Ovis aries: one gene and its partners. The protein of the gene in region 1 purifies or fractionates together with the protein of each later gene. This does not show direct contact. Links are inferred from orthologs where the notes say so. Each region holds a gene or a part of one and is shown in the gene's direction. Other genes may lie near its edges.

Evidence for each region.
Region 2: the proteins of SLC12A6 (region 1) and STK39 purify together in Homo sapiens (affinity purification with mass spectrometry; 3 studies listed by BioGRID and IntAct, with this or other methods). This does not show direct contact. The link is inferred for Ovis aries from reciprocal best matches to the Homo sapiens genes SLC12A6 and STK39.
Region 3: the proteins of SLC12A6 (region 1) and RAB6B purify together in Homo sapiens (affinity purification with mass spectrometry; 4 studies listed by BioGRID and IntAct, with this or other methods). This does not show direct contact. The link is inferred for Ovis aries from reciprocal best matches to the Homo sapiens genes SLC12A6 and RAB6B.
Region 4: the proteins of SLC12A6 (region 1) and CLGN purify together in Homo sapiens (affinity purification with mass spectrometry; 3 studies listed by BioGRID and IntAct, with this or other methods). This does not show direct contact. The link is inferred for Ovis aries from reciprocal best matches to the Homo sapiens genes SLC12A6 and CLGN.
Region 5: the proteins of SLC12A6 (region 1) and LGALS3 purify together in Homo sapiens (affinity purification with mass spectrometry; 3 studies listed by BioGRID and IntAct, counting the BioPlex papers as one, with this or other methods). This does not show direct contact. The link is inferred for Ovis aries from reciprocal best matches to the Homo sapiens genes SLC12A6 and LGALS3.

What each region holds. Positions count from the first base shown.
Region 1 is NC_056060.1:26,490,577-26,494,539, forward strand, and holds the start of SLC12A6 (solute carrier family 12 member 6), read left to right. Parts: upstream 1-1,153; 5' UTR 1,154-2,413; exon of another isoform or gene 2,414-2,530; 5' UTR 2,531-2,546; coding exon 2,547-2,817; exon of another isoform or gene 2,818-3,963.
Region 2 is NC_056055.1:141,119,014-141,123,107, forward strand, and holds the start of STK39 (STE20/SPS1-related proline-alanine-rich protein kinase), read left to right. Parts: upstream 1-1,294; 5' UTR 1,295-1,349; coding exon 1,350-1,536; intron 1,537-4,094. UniProt on the Homo sapiens protein: Effector serine/threonine-protein kinase component of the WNK-SPAK/OSR1 kinase cascade, which is involved in various processes, such as ion transport, response to hypertonic stress and blood pressure.
Region 3 is NC_056054.1:256,108,095-256,112,245, forward strand, and holds the start of RAB6B (ras-related protein Rab-6B), read left to right. Parts: upstream 1-1,339; 5' UTR 1,340-1,739; coding exon 1,740-1,809; intron 1,810-4,151. UniProt on the Homo sapiens protein: The small GTPases Rab are key regulators of intracellular membrane trafficking, from the formation of transport vesicles to their fusion with membranes. Rabs cycle between active GTP-bound and inactive GDP-bound states.
Region 4 is NC_056070.1:17,392,015-17,395,526, forward strand, and holds part of CLGN (calmegin), read left to right. Parts: coding exon 1-136; intron 137-1,385; coding exon 1,386-1,511; intron 1,512-2,133; coding exon 2,134-2,293; intron 2,294-3,512. UniProt on the Homo sapiens protein: Functions during spermatogenesis as a chaperone for a range of client proteins that are important for sperm adhesion onto the egg zona pellucida and for subsequent penetration of the zona pellucida.
Region 5 is NC_056060.1:65,677,858-65,681,967, forward strand, and holds the start of LGALS3 (galectin-3), read left to right. Parts: upstream 1-1,309; 5' UTR 1,310-1,371; intron 1,372-1,600; exon of another isoform or gene 1,601-1,753; intron 1,754-4,110. UniProt on the Homo sapiens protein: Galactose-specific lectin which binds IgE. May mediate with the alpha-3, beta-1 integrin the stimulation by CSPG4 of endothelial cells migration.

The sequences.
Region 1 (3,963 bases):
AGCTTTGAGGAGATTTACATTTTAAATAGGAATCTACTTTACATTTTGTTACCTGTAGCTTTTAAACCAGACTGTGGACTTTGTGTCATGTAATAAAAGATTTCCTGGCTCAGGTCTTCAATACTGTTCTCATCTGTTATTAAGGATGATGTTAAACATTTCTACTTGTGCTGAGCAAGGACCAGGCAAAGTCAGGCCCCAGGTTGTTGACTTTAAATGACTTTTGATAAACAAGGCCCTACATATAGTACAGGGAACTATATTCAGTATCCTGTGATAAACCATAATGGAAAAAAATATTTTTTAAAATATGTGTATGACTGAGTCACTTTGCTGTACGGCAAAGATTGCACATTATAAATGAACTATATGTCAATAAATAAAGTTAGGAAAAATTAAAATTAAGAAAAAGTCTTGATCACAGCTCTAGGAAATAACTTGCAAACAAAACATTGATAAGTCAAATTTATTGAACACCTATTCACGCATTAAATAAACATGCTAGGGAAAATATGGTGGCAGTAGCAGAGAAAACACTGGCGTCAAGAGACAATATCTCAATGTCATCTTCATGTCTAAAAGATGGCTTTTTTAACGGAGCTTTCAGTCTGAGGTAAAACACAAAATTGTATATATGTAACGTGTACAATATGAATATTTGATAGGTGTATACCTGTAGAAACCAGCATTTTTTCCGAAAGACTGCAAATAGAAAATGTAGCACACATTATGTATAAATTTGAGCATACAATTCTTTGGGATATACCACTACATAAAAACTCCAATGAGGGTCATATCCAATATATAGCATATATTTTGGAGGTATATGATGGTGTGAGATTTGTGATTTTTAAAGAAATTATGAATGGTTTTTTGAGGATGTTCTTATTCAGTAGAGATGGTTTTTGCGGTTCTGAGAGTATGGCGTACCCACTGCTCCCTGAAGTCCTTCCACTTCTAGAGTTAGTGCAAGACAGCAGGACCTAGAAGGAAAAGCATTTGTTTTTCCAAATACACGCAGCTGAGGCCCCCACACACCCAACTACAATTCCCGTCGTGCTCCGGGCCTCCCACACTGGGGCCCAACCCGTGCCGCAACCTGAGCGAGCGCATGCGCGCAGCCCTCTCGGCCACCTCGCGGGCTGCAGAGACTGGGCGGGGCTTTCAGACGCTCGTGGGGACGGTGCCGCCCTCCGACCGCTCCCCTAGGCTTCTCTTCGGACCGTTAACCTCGAATGAGGAACGAGCGGGGAGGAAAGGGCGGGGCTGCGGCGGCGCGGGCCCAGCCCGCCGGGCCCGGGGCCGGGGGCGGCGAGGTCACGTAACTGCATCTCTGGCGTCTGGCCAAGGAGGGGGCGCCCTCCCTGGCAGCTCCAGCCGTCCTGCGCGCGCCGTGGCTCGGAAACAGTTACCGGCTCATAAACAACAGCTGCGCGCGCACCCGCATCAGCTGGCGCCGAGATCCCGCACCTGCGACCTCCTCCTACTCACATCCTCGCTGCTCTCTCCGGCTCAGCCAGGGCCAGCCTGAGGCCGCCTCCTCTTCAGTTAGAACCCGAAGGAAGAACAGCGAGGGCTGACCTTGCGCCGGGGCTCTGGTAGGGGAGAGAGCTGCTTCGGCAAAGGGGTGGCTCGTCCTGTCACGCGCAAGAGAAACCGAGTGAGCCAGTCGGAGGCTCGATGGACTGACTAGCAGCGACCTGCCTCGACCCTGAGCTGCAGTCCGCGGAGTCTCGATCAGCTAGCCGCCTCCTCCCAGATCCTAGGGACCTTTCTGCCAGAAGAGCGGGCGGGCCAGCCCCGCAGGCCTCTTGAAGGCAGAAATCCGCTCTGCCCCTGCAGCCTCCTCTGCTCACCCTTCTCTCATTCTCCTCCAGCCGGAGTGTGCGATTATTTTTCCCGTTATGCGTGCGCACCTCTCCCACCAGACCCAAGTGGATTATCGGCCTCAGAAACATCGGGTGGCTGTACACACACCTCCTCCCAGCCAGACCTGTGGGGTATTCACCTGATACACAACAGGTGGCCGGGTATACACCGTTTCTCAAGCTGATCTATGCTGTATTCGTCTGATAAGGGTGGGCTTGTGCTCACTTTGCTCAACTAACCGTGGGACATTTACAGATAAAAAAAGGACTAACTACCTCGGCCTAAACCTTAGGGTCGAGGCAAGAAAGGCTTCGTCACCTGCTTTTCTGACAATGGCCCTGAGCCCACATCCCTGGACCAGAGGAGATAACTAGGTATCTCTTCATTCTGAAGAAACGAAGTTACACGAGATTGGCATCGTTGTCTTTTTTTGTTTTTTTTTTGAATATTTTTCAACTGTTGGTAGTGCACTTTTTAGGACAGCTTGAATTCTTGAATAGGAGGATTCTTATATGTAGTGGCTTTTCGTGTGGTGTAAATCAAGGTAACTGAAGGTTGTTTTTCGTGTTTTTAGTTATCTTTTCTGTTTTTGCAATCAGAAATAGCTTGCAAAGGAGGAAGGGTTTTGCAGGGTTTTTCTTTTTTCCTTGTCTTTATAAAGGAAGAGAAAAATAAAAATGCATCCTCCAGAAACCACCACCAAGATGGCTTCAGTTCGGTTCATGGTGACACCAACAAAGATCGATGACATTCCAGGTTTATCAGACACCAGTCCGGACCTCAGCTCTCGATCCAGTTCCCGAGTAAGATTTAGCTCCCGCGAAAGTGTGCCCGAAACCAGCCGTAGTGAGCCTATGAGTGAGATGTCTGGAGCCACCACTTCCTTGGCAACGGTTGCACTGGATCCAGCCAGTGACCGGACATCTAACCCCCAGGATGTTACTGAGGGTGAGTAGAAACATAGATAACAAAATATTTCCGTTACTGACCTGTTTGTCCAGGATGAAAATATACTGAGAGATCACGTTTCCATTATAGAATAATCATTAGGAACCAAGGAACCTCTGTTTGAGATGTTTAGGAACCCTTTGGGATAATGGTTTGCATAGCCAATCTCTGCAGTAGTAACTTGGTGTGTTTGGAGGTATATGGCAAGAAGGAAAGTGGTTGTGTTTTGACTTCCTCGTTTTCTGTCTCAAACTTGAACTGTATCTTTTGGTTAAGGATGAGTATCAAAGAATTTAATCATTTTCAGGAAGGAGAATCCTAAATGGTAAAATTTAGTGGAGAGTTGGCTTTGGGGGTCTAACTATGACAGTTTGCTTTTAAGGTCACTTATGTGGAGTAGTTATTGATCATATCTTAGTTATTGGCTTTCCTAAAGAGACTTCAGATATTGTATCACAAAATTCTTTTTAAAAATTTATGTTTTTACAGAAGCAGTTGTTCCAGTAGCTAAGCTCAGTCAGGGTGAGGGTGGGTAGATCTGAGTGGGCTGCCTTGTCCAGTGGAGAATTCTAAAGAGGCTTTTAGGGCCTGATTCCACATAAATTTTTTTTGTTTCATTTTGAACTTTAGATGGCATGTACTGAGTATTAAGCCTTTGTAGTCAGGAACAGCACATGAGCCACTTTTGACTTGTATTGACCACTGCAGACCTTTAGCTTCCTAAAGCAATTTGTGTCAACAGGCTTGGAGGTTTCCATTGCGTTTAGTGAGAAAGAGATGATGAAATAAAACAGGTCATAACATTTTTTGGACTAAAGTAGAAAAATTTGAGAAATACCGTACTGCTTTATATATTTAGTTTTATGCTGTGTTCTAACATAGATCTCTCTGGTAATGAAAATTCTCTTAAGAATTTTAAAAGCCCTTAAAATGATATTCTACCCACATTTGAAAACCATCTTCAGCCACTGACTTGCTATTTTCCGGTGTCAGGAAATATTGTTCCTTCTAATCTACAGAGCGCAGGAAACCAAAATGCTTTTAGTTCCTTATTTCTGTTTAGTGTGTTTTAATGTAAGGAGACAAGGTAGATTTGCTAGTTTATAGTCCTTGACTAATTTTTTTTTTTTTTTATGAAGACCTTAC
Region 2 (4,094 bases), on another chromosome or scaffold:
TTTCTCCAAATGAATTTCTGGGTTTCATCTGAATTATATTTTAAAAAGTTTTAAGGAGATTTTTATATGTAAACAGAGGAGACAAAGTATCACGATCTCTTTTTTCTTTAAAAAAAAAAAAAAAAAAGCTCATTTTTCTTATCCAATAGTCCTCATCACGACAACTACACACGATAATTTTGGCCCAATGATCATTATGACCATTGGGTCACTGCACAGTTTCAGCTCAAGAAAAGGATGGTGCAATCGTGGTCATCTCTACCAGGGGAAACACAGAGAACACTCAGTGTTAAATATGACACCTATAATTAGGAAGACCTATGGTTATACCAGAGCAGTTTTAAGGATGAGGTAATTTTAGGAGCGTTGAGAAAGCAGCAATTAATTAAGTTTTCAACGCAGCTTGTGGTGCGGTACATTCTTTGACACCCAGTTATGCTCTGTAAAAGAAATGCCAGCTATCTCTTGACCTATCGGGTTAGGGTGGCTTTGTTATTACGGGTCTAAAATTTGAGATTTAGAGTTCAAATCTCTTACACTTAGAAAAATCTAACTTTTTAGGCCCTTACAACACCTCCCTGGGATCCAAGTGGCTTGGAACTAATGAAGTCTATGAACAGCCAGAGACCTAAGGCATCACGTTTCACTAAGAAAAAAACCAGAAGGTCTGCGATTAGATTAGGCAAGGTGGGGGAGAGGGTTATCGGCAGGTAGGGCGCCGGAAAGTTACAACTCGGGTTATTTTTTAACCGGCGCCCTACAAACGGCCGGCGTGTAGGTGGCTCACTCGCTAACTTGTAAATGAACTTCAGGTTCTCTTACTTGGGGAGACTTTCTGAATCTGAGAACCTGGCGGCGGTTCAACGACCCCGCCCTCGGGGTCCCCAAGGGACATCTTCCGGAGAGCCCGATTGTCTGGGGCGAAGGCTCAGGGAAAGCAGGGAGTGAGGGGGCGAGGGACGCGGGTCCCGAACGCCAGCCCAACCCGGCCTCACTCCCCTCGGGTGGAAACTTCCCGGCAGCGAGAGAGGCGGGAGGGGGCGGCGGGGCGGCGGGGCGGCGGTTCCCCTCGCGGAGGCAGAGAACTGCGCGCGCGAGGCTCGGGACGCGCGGCGAGCGCGGCGACCGGGCCGCCTCCTCCCCTCCCCGCCTCCGCCGGCGCTGCCTCCTCCCTCCGCCCGGCTCGGCCTCCCTCGCTCCCTCCCCTCGTGGCTGGCTCCGGCGGCGGCGGCGGCGGCGGGCGCGGAGGGCGTGCGCCGGCCGAGAGGTGTCGGTGGCGAGGAAGGGAAGTTTCAAGTGGAAGGTCGTCCGCCGGCTGGCGCGTCCTCCCGATCTCCTCCGGCAGCATCATGGCGGAGCCGAGCGGCTCGCCCGTGCACGTCCAGCAGCCCCAGCAGGCGGCCCCGGTGACAGCGGCGGCCCCGGCGACAGCGACAGCAGCGCCGGCTCCGGTGGCTCCCGTGGCCACGACTCCGGCCGCGCAGTCGATCGGCTGGCCCATCTGCAGGGACGCGTACGAGCTGCAGGAGGTTATCGGTCAGTGCGGCGGGCGCGGCGGGGCCGGTCCAGGCCGGGCGGGAGGTGCGGCAGGCGACGCGGGATGCTGGGCTTGTCTGCATGCACGCCCTGGAGGCAGAGCGGTCGGCTTCTGGGCCTACCGGCTTCAACAGTTTTTTTTTTTTTTTTTTCATTCTTTCGGTGAGCGCGGGTGCTGCAGGAGGTGGCGCGGCGGATGTGACTCGCACTGCAGACGAGCCGCATGCTGCAAACTTTTATCTCCCCGATCGCTGGGGCGGCGGAACTGGGGACCCGGCAACGCCGCCGCATCTCCCTCCTCCCGCGTGCCGGGCCCGCAGCCTGTGGTCGGTGGCCGCGCGAGCAGGCAGCCGCGGTCGGGGTGGGGTTGCGGGGGCGCCGCCCTGGTCTTCCAGCGCCCCCGCGCCGCGCCGGGGGGCCGCGCGTCCTGGGGGACTTAACCGGCGCAGCCGCGCCTCTGCTCTCTAGCTCCGCACCCCAGCTTCCCATCAGCAACCTCTCGCCATGGGTAACCGGGCTACGTAGGAGTTCCAGGGGCCCAGGTTCTTTCCTGAGGCCAGGGAGGATGCTGGCCTCCCTTCCTGACAGCCCCAGCTCCACGCCCGCCTTGCAGCCTGGCTTTCCGCGCCGCCCGGCGCGCCCGGGTACCCGCCTCTCGGTGCCCGGGCGCGCCTCCTGCTGCCCAGCCCGGTCGCCCGGAGAAAGAAGGCGCCCTGGCCTCCTGCCCTGTGCTGGGCCGATGCTTCCCCTCTGGTCCAGGGCCGAACTGCATGAGTGAAAGCCGAGGCTCTCGATGACCTGCTGCTTGCCTGTTGGTGCCTTCTAGTTGGCTCACCAATATCCCCTTATCTTAGATTTTAAAAAACCTGGCCAAGTCGAATGGCAGGAAGCCGCCGTTACTTTTCCCTGGGCCAAGCACGTGAAGGACCAGATTTGTGTTGACCGTTGTTGGATCATCTCGTCTTGTTAAACCCAGTTAGGGCACCCTCCAGATAAAGTGGGCCCTCATTATTGGCGGTGGGATGGGATGCTGCCTTCTCATATCTTGATGTTTAAGTACATGATGAGAAAGGAATTCAGGATATTTATTTTAAACTTTTTCCCCTTCTTTTCATTATAAAGAATGTGGCCCTCCCTCCCTTTCTTTAAAAAATTAAAACCGGTAATAAGAATTTCATTAGGTGTTTACCCTTTATCGCCTGCTGCTGTAGGAATGGAACATAGCATAGATTGAAATAAATAGACCAATGACTGGCAGAACAGTAACCTAGGATATGAAAGCAAAATTCTTCGAAAACCCATGCCTTTTATAACTTTTTGCCAAAGACTCTCCTAATATGTCTTCCTGTCACTGCATGAATTATGTATCTTCAAGGGGTTTTTTAAAGCCTGTTCAGTGAAAACTCCTTTCACCTGCTAGCTAAGCCCCTTCATCTTCCCAGTTTTACCGTCTGCTCTCAACCTACTTGCCCCCACTGGTATTCTGGTTGCACTGACTGCACACTGAATAGTCAGCTGTCCTGGCCTTCCATTCCTTGCTGTCTTTCACAGGCTCTTCTCTAAGTGCCCATCTTTGTAGTTAACCTCACTCAGCTTGCGATGAATGTTCTTAAGTCGCCTTCTGCTTCTTCCAAGGCAAAGTATGGTGGCTTTTTCTGTTCCTTTTTTTATATGGCTCACAGCATGTAATCCCATAGTTTTTATTTGCGCAACAGAATCTAAAGGCCTACTCTTTCCCAAGCATTGTGCTAGGTTTTTGCATTTAGAAATGAATAAAATGGTCCTTGCCCTCAGGGCTTCCCAAGTTTAAGTAACTGATTCTATAGGATGTCATGAGTGAGTACTGGTGGAGCATAAAGAAGGGACTAACTGCTTGCTTGGAGAAATGAGGAAGCAGAGTATTCCGCAGAAGACATCTGAACTGAATTTTGAAGTCTGAATAAGTTTATAAGTTGCTTGATTATTTCCATTGCTGCTTTTCCTTGTCAGCTGTGAACTCCTTTAGGGTCTTATTTATCCCTCTGACTCCAATACATAGGGATGGTCCATAAAACTTAATTGATGGTAACCTGCCACATGTTTCCATAGGCCCTAGGACCAGTATTTACTTACAATCAATTTCTATGCTTATTTTGTCAATTATTAGGGTCAGTATGCAAGTTTGCAATATGGAAGACAATATGCTTGCCTTTTGAAAGCAGTGTTTGAGTTGACCAGTTTTATGAACTGAAATGAATAAAATCTTAGTTTAATTAAAGAGACGGGATTGATTTCAGGGCTTCTTTCTGCTTGCAGTAGCAGCATTGTTAATTATGGTTGGTCAGTTTCATTAAAAAAAAAATTTACCTGAGGAATTTGCCAGCAGAAATGCCTGTTTATTACTTCTATGCTGATTTTTGTATATTCACACTGCAGGAAGGGTTTTCCTACATTTAAAATTATCTCATATTTTTCCAGTTGAAAGAGGCTGTCTGTGTGGTGGCCGTGTGATTGAAAAGTCACATTGCTGCAGTAGGGTTTTCCAGGGGCTTAATGTTGTAGGGAATTACACACCCATT
Region 3 (4,151 bases), on another chromosome or scaffold:
AATATACAATGGAGAAAACACAGTCTCTTCAATAAGTGGAACAGTTGTACTGACTTGGGTTCTAGATATTCACCCAAACATTCAACAATTATTTCCTAAGCTCAAAGTTAAGTCTTTGGGATTCAGCAGTGGAGACTCAACTGCTGATCTGGAACTCATCCTATAGTTTTTAATAAGCAATGAGAGAAAGATTCTAAGTAATAAACCAGGGAGTCAGACAGGAAGACATTCCAAGCCAGCTATGTAAGTCAAAAAGAGCAACAAATGCCCCCTAGAAAACTCCAGAGATGAAGGTTGCTTCTCACCTTTCTCTCTGAATGAAACACACACACACACACACACACAAACTTGTTCCCTAACATCTAGGGTATAATCCCAAATGAACATTCATTGAACGGCCCTAAAAGAACAGACCACCTGCCTGCAGCACAGCAGAAGCAGCTTGGTGAAACCTCAGTTACCCAGAATGCTAGGACCCGGTTGGGAGAGCATCTAATGCCTGGCACCTGCTCCTTGTTCTCACCCACTCACAAATTATCTGTGTGCCTTAACAGGTCAGGTGAATGTAAAGGCAAATGGGAGGTCTCCCTCCTGTCCTCTGGGAGCTCATTGTCCAGATACGTCTAATTGCCAGGGCAAGGAGTGGTGGTGTCAGCCCAGAGATCCCAAGGTCCAGGGATCCAGGGATCCATCCTGGAGATGGAGGAGCTGACATTCGGGGCCTCGTTCCTCTTCTCTCCCACGGGTCATTAGGTTTAGGATAAAGTGGTGCTTAGGAGCGGTTGAAGCAGGGTGCTCCTTTTATCGGAGCTCCTCTCCAGTTGGGCATGTCTGTGGGTGGGTGGGGGGGACACCTATGACTCTACAGAGGGGCCCAAGAGGAGGGATCTGGAGAGAAGAGAGGAGGGAGGGCCAGACACACGTACAAGATGCCAGTAGAGCCGGTCTGCGCCCACACGGTCCACCACACCCTGGCTCACCGACCCTCCCCCCCGCTCCCCGCCCCCCGCCCCCCGCCCTGACTTCTTTCATTTTCACCCTCTCGGATGGCTGGGCTGTGTGTATCAGTGTCGCAGGGGTAGAAAGAAGGGGTAACATCTAGGTTTAATTAACAAATATCCCTTGACAATTTCACGTCATTTTCTGCATTCAAAAGGGAGATGGAGTGGGGAAGACAGACGCAGTGGGGCAATGAGAGAGGGTCCGATTCGGTAGCCTCTTCAAGGAACGGCTGAGCGACCCTCTCTCGCCCGAGTGCGGGCTCCGGGTGGGTGGACTGACGCCCCTCAGCCCCGCAGCGCCACGGGCCCCGCATGACATCAGAGGCTAGGGAGCGCGCAGAGCGCAGGCGCGGGCGGAGAAGCAAGGCGGGAGGGGGGCCGACTGGTGCGGCTCGGGAGAGCGCTCCTCCGCCCCGCGCGCCTGAGCCCCGCTCCGCCCGATCCTCGCAGTCTGCGCCGCGCCTCGGGCGTCCAGAGCGCGCCGCATCAAGCGCCGCCTGCGGCCGCCCAGCCCCATCCTTCCTCCTCCTCCTCCTTATCTTTCTCCTCCTCCTCCGCCACCGGACACGCAGCCGCAGGCCGGGGCCGGGACGCAGCTGGGGAGCCAGGGACGCGCGCAGCCAGCCCTTCCCCCTCCGGCTCCCGCACCGCCGGCCGCCTCCCCTCGCCCTCCTCCTCTCCCCTCCCTGCTCCTTCGCTTCTCCTCCTCCTCCTCTCCCAGCCCCAGCTGCCAGCACCATGTCCGCAGGGGGAGATTTTGGAAACCCACTGAGAAAATTCAAGTTGGTCTTCCTGGGGGAGCAGAGCGGTAAGTACCCCGCTTATTCCCCGGGTTTGGAGTCGAGCCCACCCCCGCCGCCAAATCATCCACCCCACTGGGACCCCGACCTCGGCTCGAAAAGGCCCCTCGGTGCCCGGGTAGAGAAGAGGTTTGGGGATGGGGAGGTCGTGGCCGGCTCGGAGGGGCCGGCAGGGGAGGCTCCAGGCGTAAGGGACGACGAGGCGCTGGGGCCAGAGGTGGGGGCGAGGGTGGGATCTGGGGTGGGGGCTCGGGGTGCGGCGCGCCGGGGACACCGGAGGGCGGCGGCTCGCTCGGCGGCGCCGGCCGCGGGCGTGAAGGCTCCGGGCTCGCTGGCTCGCTCGCACTGCGGCACCGGCTGCGGGCGACCGCGCAGGTGGCGGGGCGCCGATGAGGGTCGCAGGGAGGGCGATTGCACCTCTTTAGAGAACGAGACGGCACTGGCGTCTGGCCGCTCCCCAAACCGCGGCACCGGAGGGGCTCCCTGGGGCCCCTGACGGGAACCGTAATTGCAGACACGTCCAGGCCCTGGGGCAGACGGCCGCGGCGAGAAGACCGACATCTGTCTCTTCTGAAAAGAGCAGGTGCAGATCGTCGGGGAACAGGGCGCCCACCTCCCCTGACTTACGTCCGACTGGGCACCGAATGTTCTAGACCCGTCGCCCTTCGCTGCTGTGTATTAGCCGCTTTCGGGCTCAGGGGTCTGAGCGATGACAGCAGGGGGTCCCCAGTGCAGGGCAGATTTGGGGGATGGAACCGGGGCGCCTTGCACCGAGAGCCGCGAAGCCCGGCGCTGGGCAGAGAAAGGACCAGGCGACACGCCCTGCCTGGCTTCCCAGCACCCCTCCCAAGAGCGTTCTCGGCGGATTCTTCCAACCCCCACCTCCCAGCTCACCGCCCTTCTTGGGGGAGGGGAGGCCACCGTGGCAGCGGGCCAGGGGCCAGGGAGACGAGGAGACAAACGGCTTTCCTGCTGTCTGGTAGCTCCCCCGGGGAAAGCGTCTCTGAAAGCCAGGTTAGTCCTGAGGAGGGAAGACCAGCCTGAAGAGCATGGAGCCTCTGACACTTGTAGGAAGGAGTGGTTCTCAGAGCATCCCTGCAGAGGCCTCTCACCTGAGGCTGCGGGGAGACAGGCTGGGCCCTGACCTGCTCTGGGAGAAGGCTGTCTCTGGAGGCAGGACCACCAGCTGTAGCTCTACAAACCAGTCCGGTTCACCTGGTCTAGTGCCTGTCTGTACAAGGGGCCGCAACACACACAATCTTGGGAGGACCTGGTGAGCTCCAGGTGCTGCTGTGATATGTGTGTACATATTGCTTGTGGAGGTCACATGACAGTCGCCTGCCTGCCGCTGCTCATTAGCTGGGATGCAGGGATGGCTCCGAGAAGGGTGTCAGAAGGTGGCCAAGCTCTGACATGGGTTTTAGGGCCAAGCTGGGCATTTCTGAGCAAGATGAACTCAGCCAGCCAGCCCTGTGTCCTGGACTTTTGAGTTTCTGATCTTAGTAGATTCCAGTTTCACAAAACTAACTTTTTCTTGTGCCTAAAGGGATTTGGGAGTAGAGGGATTGGTCTTCACATTACAGGGCTAATCCAACCGGTGCTAGAGCCCTGGGAGTTGAATTCTTAGCTGTGTTCCCTTGAGGAGATTTCGAAGCCTTTCTGAGCCTTAGTTTCTGTCTCTGTAAGATGGTTGCCTGAGGGTCGTTTTCTTACCCCTTCATGTTTCCTCAGTGTCTCTCAAAGGGCTGGACCCTGAGAGGTTGTCAGTAAACACAGTTTTATTCCAAGTCTGAATATGCTTCAGTGAAGGAGGTTTGGTGAGGAGAATGCATCTGGTGTATTTGAGTGAAAACTCTGGGCTCCCTCAGAACCTCTGATGGGCTGAGGCCCCTGATGAGCTCTGCAAACCACCTTTGCACCTAAAATCACAGAAACAAGAGCTGAAGCCCTCAGAGCGTGAGCCCCCATGTTTATAAGGGAAGCCCAGCATGTTTATAAGGATAGGGTGTGGACCCAGAGGTCTATTGTGAGTTGCTAACACTTCTGGGACTGAAACTCGTGTCTCCTGTTCCCGGTCACTAACATGCCATTGGGAAATGAGGTGACCTTGAATTGGGAAAGCCAAGAATTGGGAATCTTTAATCTAGGAGGTGGTGGTTACCAAACTCTGGCCAGGATTATGGCTGGGTTGGGTGACCTGGTGGGAATGCCAGGCTAGTCGTTTGGGATCATGGTTTCTGAGCCCTTTGAACATGGTCATTAGGAGAAAAGGCACTGCCATTAGCCACATTGATTCTTTCTGGCAGGGAGCTCTAAGGCCCTGAAGACTCCTCCCACTTTATTAGGTCAT
Region 4 (3,512 bases), on another chromosome or scaffold:
TCTTGGTTTAGAGCTTTGGTCCATGACCTCTGATATCTACTTTGATAATTTTATTATCTGTTCAGAAAAGGAAGTAGCAGACCGCTGGGCTGCAGATGGTTGGGGAGTGAAGATACTGATAGAAAATGCTAATGAGGTACACAGTATTTAGCATATGATAATAATAGGGTATCGTCCTGGTTATAGGTTATACAGATGGCCTTTTGATGAGTCAATAGATACAATAATTACTAAATGATGAAGAAACATATTTAAATCTATGTAGACAGAATATGAGCTTCACCAAATTATAACTTCATTATAAACTATATAGTGAATTATATATGTCTTCTTTTCATTTGTTAGATTATGATAACATAAATGGATTGAATGCCTTTTGATGTTTATAGAAATGAGACGGTTATTACTACTGTTAGAAATGAGACTTAATATCTTGTCACCTTATCAGTTTAAGGCCTAAGTGGGAACAGAAATCTAAATCTTTATTCATTTTAACTACTTTTCACTTAGAGGAGTATAGAAATTTTTAAAATTTAATTATTATGTTCTAGTTATTTTTCCCAAATCTTAACACTGCTTAGGAAAGCTTAAGCTAAATATTTCAACACAGTACATCTTGGAGAATCTATCTGTCTTTAAAACCAATTACCATAAAGAAAAATGTACCTTATATTAGGTTTCTTTGAATATTAGCAAAAACCTCAAAAGAGTAAATAAAGGTAAAAGGATTCTCATTTTGAAACTCTTTTAACTAAAACATTTTAATAAGGAAAACAGTTTCCTTTCTGAAAGTTGTGTGTGAAATTTGTTAAGAAATAAGAAAAAACATAGCTATCCTTAGGTTGACTTTTTTTTTTTTAGTAAGTTCTTTAAAAGTACAGAATGAGTTAGAGAGTTTACTTCTAAATGAACCAAATAATACATCCATGAAGCATAGTACTATCTTGAAACTTACCAGAAAAGGAAGCTGTCTTAATTCTTGCTGGAGAATTAGCAATATTCACTTGTATAATATAATGTATCTTCTACCAAGTGTTAAACTGCAATGCATGTGAATAATTAAAGATTGTTTAAGGGACTTCCCTGGTGGCCTGTGGCTAGGACTCAGCGCTCTCAGTGCAGGGGGCCTGGGTTTGATCTCTGGTTGGGGAAGTAGTTCCCACAGGTCACAACTAAGAACTGGCATGCCAGATAAACTTTTTTTTTTTTTAAAGATTGTTTAAACTTTACAAAGTATAAAATGAAAAATATTTTTTGCCTTATAAATTTGACTCCTTAGTAGAAAACTACCTAGGTGAAATAACTTTTTTTGTTTTCATAGGCTGTATTTATGAATGAAGGTTTATAAAATCTGAATAGCCTTTTTATGCTTATTTCTTTTTCAGCCTGGTATATTCAAACAATTGATGTCAGCTACTGAACAGCGCCCATGGCTTTGGTTCATTTACCTCTTGACAGCAGCGCTTCCAATAGCATTGATTAGTTCATTTTGTTGGCCAAGAAAAGTAAAGGTAAAGAAAATGAATTTTCTTCAACATAAAAAAAAAATCTCTTAGTGTTTAGGAGTTCAATAAATGGAGTCAGTGGTTCTTAAAAGTAATAAACTAAATTTCTTATATAAGTTTTTACTGTTAGTTCACCGTGTATGATATCAGTTCAGTTCGGTTCAGTTGCTCAGTCACGTCTGACTCTTTCCAAACCCATGGACTGCAGCATGTCAGGTTTCCCTGTCCATCACCATCTCCCGGAGCTTGCTCAAACTCATGTCCATCAAGTCGGTGATGCCATCCAACCATCTCATCCTCTGTTGTCCCCTTCTCCTTCTGCCTTCAGTCCTTCCCAGCATCAGGGTCTTTTCAAATGAGTCAGTTCTTCGCATCAGGTGACCAAAGTATTGGAATTTCAGCTTCAGCATCAGTCCTTACAATGGATATTCAGGACTGATCTCCTTTAGGATGGATTGGTTTGATCTCCTTGCAGTCCAAGGGACTCTCAAGAGTCTTCTCCAACAAGACAGTTCAAAAGCATCAGTTCTTCAGCGCATGTGTGTTACCCGTCATTGCAAAAAAAGAAAATGTTTTTTTTAATAGTGCTTTGCTTCTAGTAAAAATAGCTTATGTTAAACTACCACAGAAAAAATATGAAGATGTGGCTTTCAAAAAACTGGACATATGTAAACCACAAACAAAGGGAGCACTGGAGCAGGAAGTGAAGGAAGAGAAAGCAGCCCTGGAGAAGCCAGTTGACTTGGAAGAGGAAAAAAAGCAAAGTGATGGTGAAATTGTTGAAAAAGGTAGGACAGTGATGGCGATATATAAAGGGGACCCTGGGCAGAGCTCATTAAGAACAGTAGATTAAGTGGGAACCACTAGCTGTTGCACTTGTCTGTTGTCAGATTTATACCATCTGAATCCCCAGGAGTGCGTGACTGTGGTGAAGAGGAGTACCATCCTTGCCTGGATTGTACCTGAGCAGACATCCAGTGTATGAGCTCTCTCTTCTAGGAAGAAAGAGTTGTCAGAATTGTTCAGTTGCTTCAGAATCTAGCAGCTGTCAATCCCATAGGTCATAGCTTTTTGCAAGGGTTTTTCTTGCCTCCAAGGATGAGATGGGAGGCACAGATCACAGCTTCTGTGGAAGAGTAGTTGGTTTAAGACAGGTGTCTGCAGCAACAAAATCCACACCAAGGGCTGTTGTTTATCAGATAGTTTTATCATATCAAACCAGTAGTTTAATCTCTTCAAAGGATTGCTGAATCATATGTCCCCTCCTGCTCTCAGCTAAACTCCAGATGTTAGAACTGAAGACAGCTGCAGCTTTTTGGTACCTCTCCAGTGAGACTTCCTTATATACATCTAAGTAGCAATAAAACTATTGATGTTTGCCAGATGTCCCAAGCCAGGCTCCAGAATGAGCCCTTTATAACCTGCATTATATTTTGAGCACTATTTTTAACTTAATAGTTGATGAAACAGTTGACTTAAAAACCATGCTCTCTCAAAGCACACATATATATTTATGTATATACATACACACATATATTCTTTGATTTTCATTTCACATACAGACTGAATGCTTTAAAATTCTTTAAACCTGCCCCTTTCCTCAGATATGATGATATATTTATTGTTGTTGTTCAGTTGCTCAGTCATGTCCGACTCTTGGTGACTCCATGGACTGCAGCATGCCAGGCTTCCCTGTCCTTCATGATCTCCCAGAGCTCACTCAAACTCATGTCCATTGAGTCGATGATGCCATCGAACCATCTCATGCTCTGTCATCCCCTTCTCCTCACACCCTCAATCTTTCCCAGCATCAGGGTCTTTTCCAGTGAGTTGTGGTAAAATAACGAGTACTTGTATTTAATTTTCAAAAATGTCTAATGGAAGAAATTGCTTTCAAATATTGAAATTTAAATGTACTCCTCCACTTTTACTTAATACTCTTCAGTAGAAAAATTCTAATTCATTGAGTCTTTTGCCTTGAATAAAATCTGTTTAATAAAAACTTCT
Region 5 (4,110 bases), about 39 Mb from region 1:
TGTTATTTGTCTATTATTTATATCTTATTTGTCTAGGAGTATGTATCTGTTAATCCCAAATTACTAATTTGTTCCTTCCCCTCACTATCACACTGATAACCATAAATTTGTTTTCTATGTCTGTGTGTTAACTTTTGTGAGTGGCAATTTGAATTAAAAAACATATGTATCTAAGACATCCTTAGTCATTTTACTCAGCTGTTACCCAGTGAAATGCTACTGACAAATACCACTTCCCCTTGGAAACACCACTACTTGTTGTAACAATCTTTCTTAGAGACATGTTGTACTGTGCTTAGTTGCTGAGCCAGGTCAGACTCTTTGTTATCACATGGACTGCAGCCCAGGCTCCTATGTCCATGGAGATCCTCCAGGCAAGAATACTGGAGTGGGTTGCCATGCCCTCCTTCAGAGGATCTTCCCAACCCAGGGATCAAACCTAGGTCTCCCACATTGCAGGCAGATTCTTTATTTTACTTTATGTTATTTTTACTTTATTCTGAGCCACCAGGGAAGCCCAAGAATACTGGAGTGGGTAACCTATCCCTTCTTCACGAGTCTTCCCCAGCCAGGAATCAAACCGGGGCCTTCTGCATTGCAGGTGGATTCTTTCCCAGCTGAGCTACCAGCGAAGCCCTTCTGAGAGCCATAGCTTTATTTTTTTCCTACTTTTCTCAAAGGTACATTTGTATTTAACTCTCCCCTCCATCAGGACTCTTTCTAATCTTTGAGAAAACAGACTTCCTAGGAAGTGATTCACTATTTTAATCATTCATTTACTAAACAAATTTAACCAGTTTACTGAGGACCTACCAAACACAAGGCAGATGTTGAGGAGGCAGTGGGAAGCAAACAGCAAAACAGTCTAGGGCTCCTGGTCTGAGAGGTGTGTACCCACATCACAGTTCAGAACGGGAATAAAAACAAGACATGGAGCTTCTCACCCAGCATCTCAAAAAACGTGACAGGACCCTCCCTGTCACTAAAAGCTTCCTTCGCAGACTCTCCCTATCTTGGCCTGAGGACTTGGCAGGTGAATCTATTGAGAGGGCGGTGAACCCAACCTCTGGCGGCTGCGGAGGGGACCGATCGGACGTTGAGGGGATGGAGGCCGCGGGTCCCACCCACCGCTGTCCTGAGTCAGGCGTCTCCTCTGCGTCCTGGATCCAGCGGGGCCAGGACTCGCCCAGCCTCGTTCGCACGGAGAGGCCGGGGGCGGCCGGGCGGGCGGCCGGGGTGGCGGCCCCGCCCCGGGAGAGGCGTGCCGGGCCGGGCGTATTTGAGGCGCAGAGCCGGCCACCGCCCGGGCAGGACCACACCACCCCTGCCCGAGCCTCCCCCGCGGCGCGCGAGCCAGTGCAGAGGCGTCGGGTAAGTGGCGGGGGCGCCGGGACGGGGGTGCAGACGCGCCTGCTGCAAGGCCAGGGCGCCCGGGCGCAGCTCGGTGCGCGGCCCCCTTTGCCGGGCTGGGCGGGAGCCGGAGACGAGGGCTTGGCTTCCCCGGGGAACCGCGCTTTCTGGGCCCAGGTTCCTTGGCTTCGAGCCCTCAAGAGAGGAGTCTGAGACTCGAGGAAAGTTAGCAACGACTTAAAAGACTCACCTGCATTTCCTCGCGGCGGACGGGAGGGTCACCCTCTGCGGCGACTGGGAGGCTCAGCCCCGGCTTCGCGCCCCGCGCCCCGGCTGGCCCGTGGTGTGTGGTGGGCGCGCGCGCATCCTCCCAGCTGCCTGCTTCAGCTGGGCGGGAGGAACCAGGTGCCCCTGCCTCCGTCGGCGGTGGAGACTGCCCCGGCACTCTGTGGGCGGTTCCTCAACTCTTAGCTTGGCTGTGGGATGGGGATGTGTTCTGCTACAGGCCAACAGAGTCCGGGGCTGCAGCCGCTCTCTGGATGCTGATCCCGCAGAAAATGGTGCTGCCCCAAGGCTGAGTGGGCATGTGCCCGGCTTGGCAAAGACCGCACACCCTCAGTTTTTGCACATCCCAGTCCGGATTTGAGCATTAACGATCTCAGACCTGTGCTGCGGACGTGTGGGGTGTGGCAGAATTGAATGTTCGTCCGAGGGTGCAGAGCCCTAGTTGAGGTGGGGAGGGGTTGCTTCTAAAACATGTTTGAGGACATATTCTAAATTGTGAGTTGCTCAAATCAAAGCACTAATGTGCCTGCGCTTTTACGAGTAGGAACTCCGGGACACTGGGGTTGAGGTTGTGTCTTAAGCTTCATGCCCTGCCCTTAGCGATCCTGATTTCAGATACCTGGAATATTTGTAAAATGACTCCTGGGAATTGGGTTGCTGGACAATGAGAACGGTTTGACTTCAGTGACCCAGTCTGTTTCTAGGATTCTGGAAAAGGAATGGAAGAGAGGCTCATTTTGTTCTGCAGAAAATGGTGGCAATAAGAATTGACCACTTGGCACAGAGCATGAGAAAAAATTTTCACCAACTTCCAAAATTCTGACTCACTTGCCCCAAGTTAAACACAGTTGATCTTTCATGCTAGGAAACTGTGTTTCCATAAAAGTTCAATAATAAAATTCATTGTGCCACAAGAATGTCCTTTTCAGACATTGTCTTTGAATCCCTAGAGTCATGTCATCCATCCCTTTGATGACTGTGCCTCACTCTTAATCTATGGGAAATTGGAGCTGCCTAAATTAATCAAGTGGGGGGCTTTTGCTTAAAATCAGCATTCTCTCCATATTCCGGGGAGAAGTTTGATGATGGGTCTTGAATGTTTTGAGCTTAGAAATATTAGGCGGATGCCTCGCCAAGTTACATAAGAAGCAGAAGAGGAGGAGCACTGTTTGATAGATTGACCCCAAAAGCTCATTTTTTAAAATAAACTGTGGTGTTGGAGAAGACTCTTGAGAGTCCCTTGGACTGCAAGGAGATCCAGCCAGTCCATTCTAAAGGAGACCAGTCCTAGGTGTTCTTTGGAAGGACTGATGCTAAAGCTGAAACTCCAATACTTTGGCCATCTCATGCGAAGAGTTGACTCATTGGAAAAGACTCTGATGCTGGGAGGGATTGGGGGCAGGAGAAGGGGACGACAGAGGATGAGATGGCTGGATGGCATCACTGACTCGATGGACATGAGTTTGGGTGAACTCTGGGAGTTGGTGATGGACAGGGAGGCCTGGCGTGCTGCGATTCATGGGGTCGCAAAGAGTCGGACATGACTGAGCAACTGAACTGAGGCTAATCTCGCTCTGTTGAAAGGTCTTTCAGCTCATTTCAGTTCAGTCAATGATATTTTGCTATGCTACAAATACGCAGCAGAGCTTTATAAAAAGACTTTTTATGTATTGCTGCTGCTGCTAAGTCGCTTCAGTCGTGTCTGACTCTGTGCGACCCCATAAACGGGAGCCCACCAGGCTCCCCCGTCCCTGGGATTCTCCAGGCAAGAACACTGGAGTTGGTTGCCATTGCCTTCTCCATTACTTATTGCTGCTGTTGCTGCTATGTCTCTTCAGTCATGTCCGACTCTTAGTGATCCCATGGACTGCAGCCTATCAGGCTCCTCCACCCATGGGATTTTCCAGGCAAGAGTACTGGAGTGGGTTGCCATTGCCTTCTAGTGAGGTCAAAAGGCTGTTATTGGTCTCAGCTATGATTTAGATACTGTTTACCTAGAACTCTCTTCAGTCAGACTCTACATCTTATCCCTAATAGAGATCTATATTCATATAATAAAATTTGAGGTGCTTATGTTACCTAAAATACCAGTTGGCTTATAAACTTCTTGTACCTGAGACTCATGGTAACTGATCAAAAACTTAGCCTCTCTTTCCTTTTAGTTTGGGACAGAGGCTTCTGCTGAGGACAGCTAGTTAACATTTTCTATCTGGTGCCTGCATGAATTCTTCTCATTAAATTCTGAGTGGTAAGCCTGCCAGGGCAGTAATTCTAGTTTGCTGCTGACTAAGTATCATGTGTTCTCTCTTAACTGATACTCAGCTTTTCCATATGGGGAAAAAAAAATCAGTAACTGAGAGGTACAAAGTAACTTTAACTTCCTTATGGCTGAGGAACTGCGATGAAAAAGAAATCCTGGGAAAGGACCAGTTTCCTTTATCCTGACTAGCATCTCTGAATTTGGCTTTGCACATA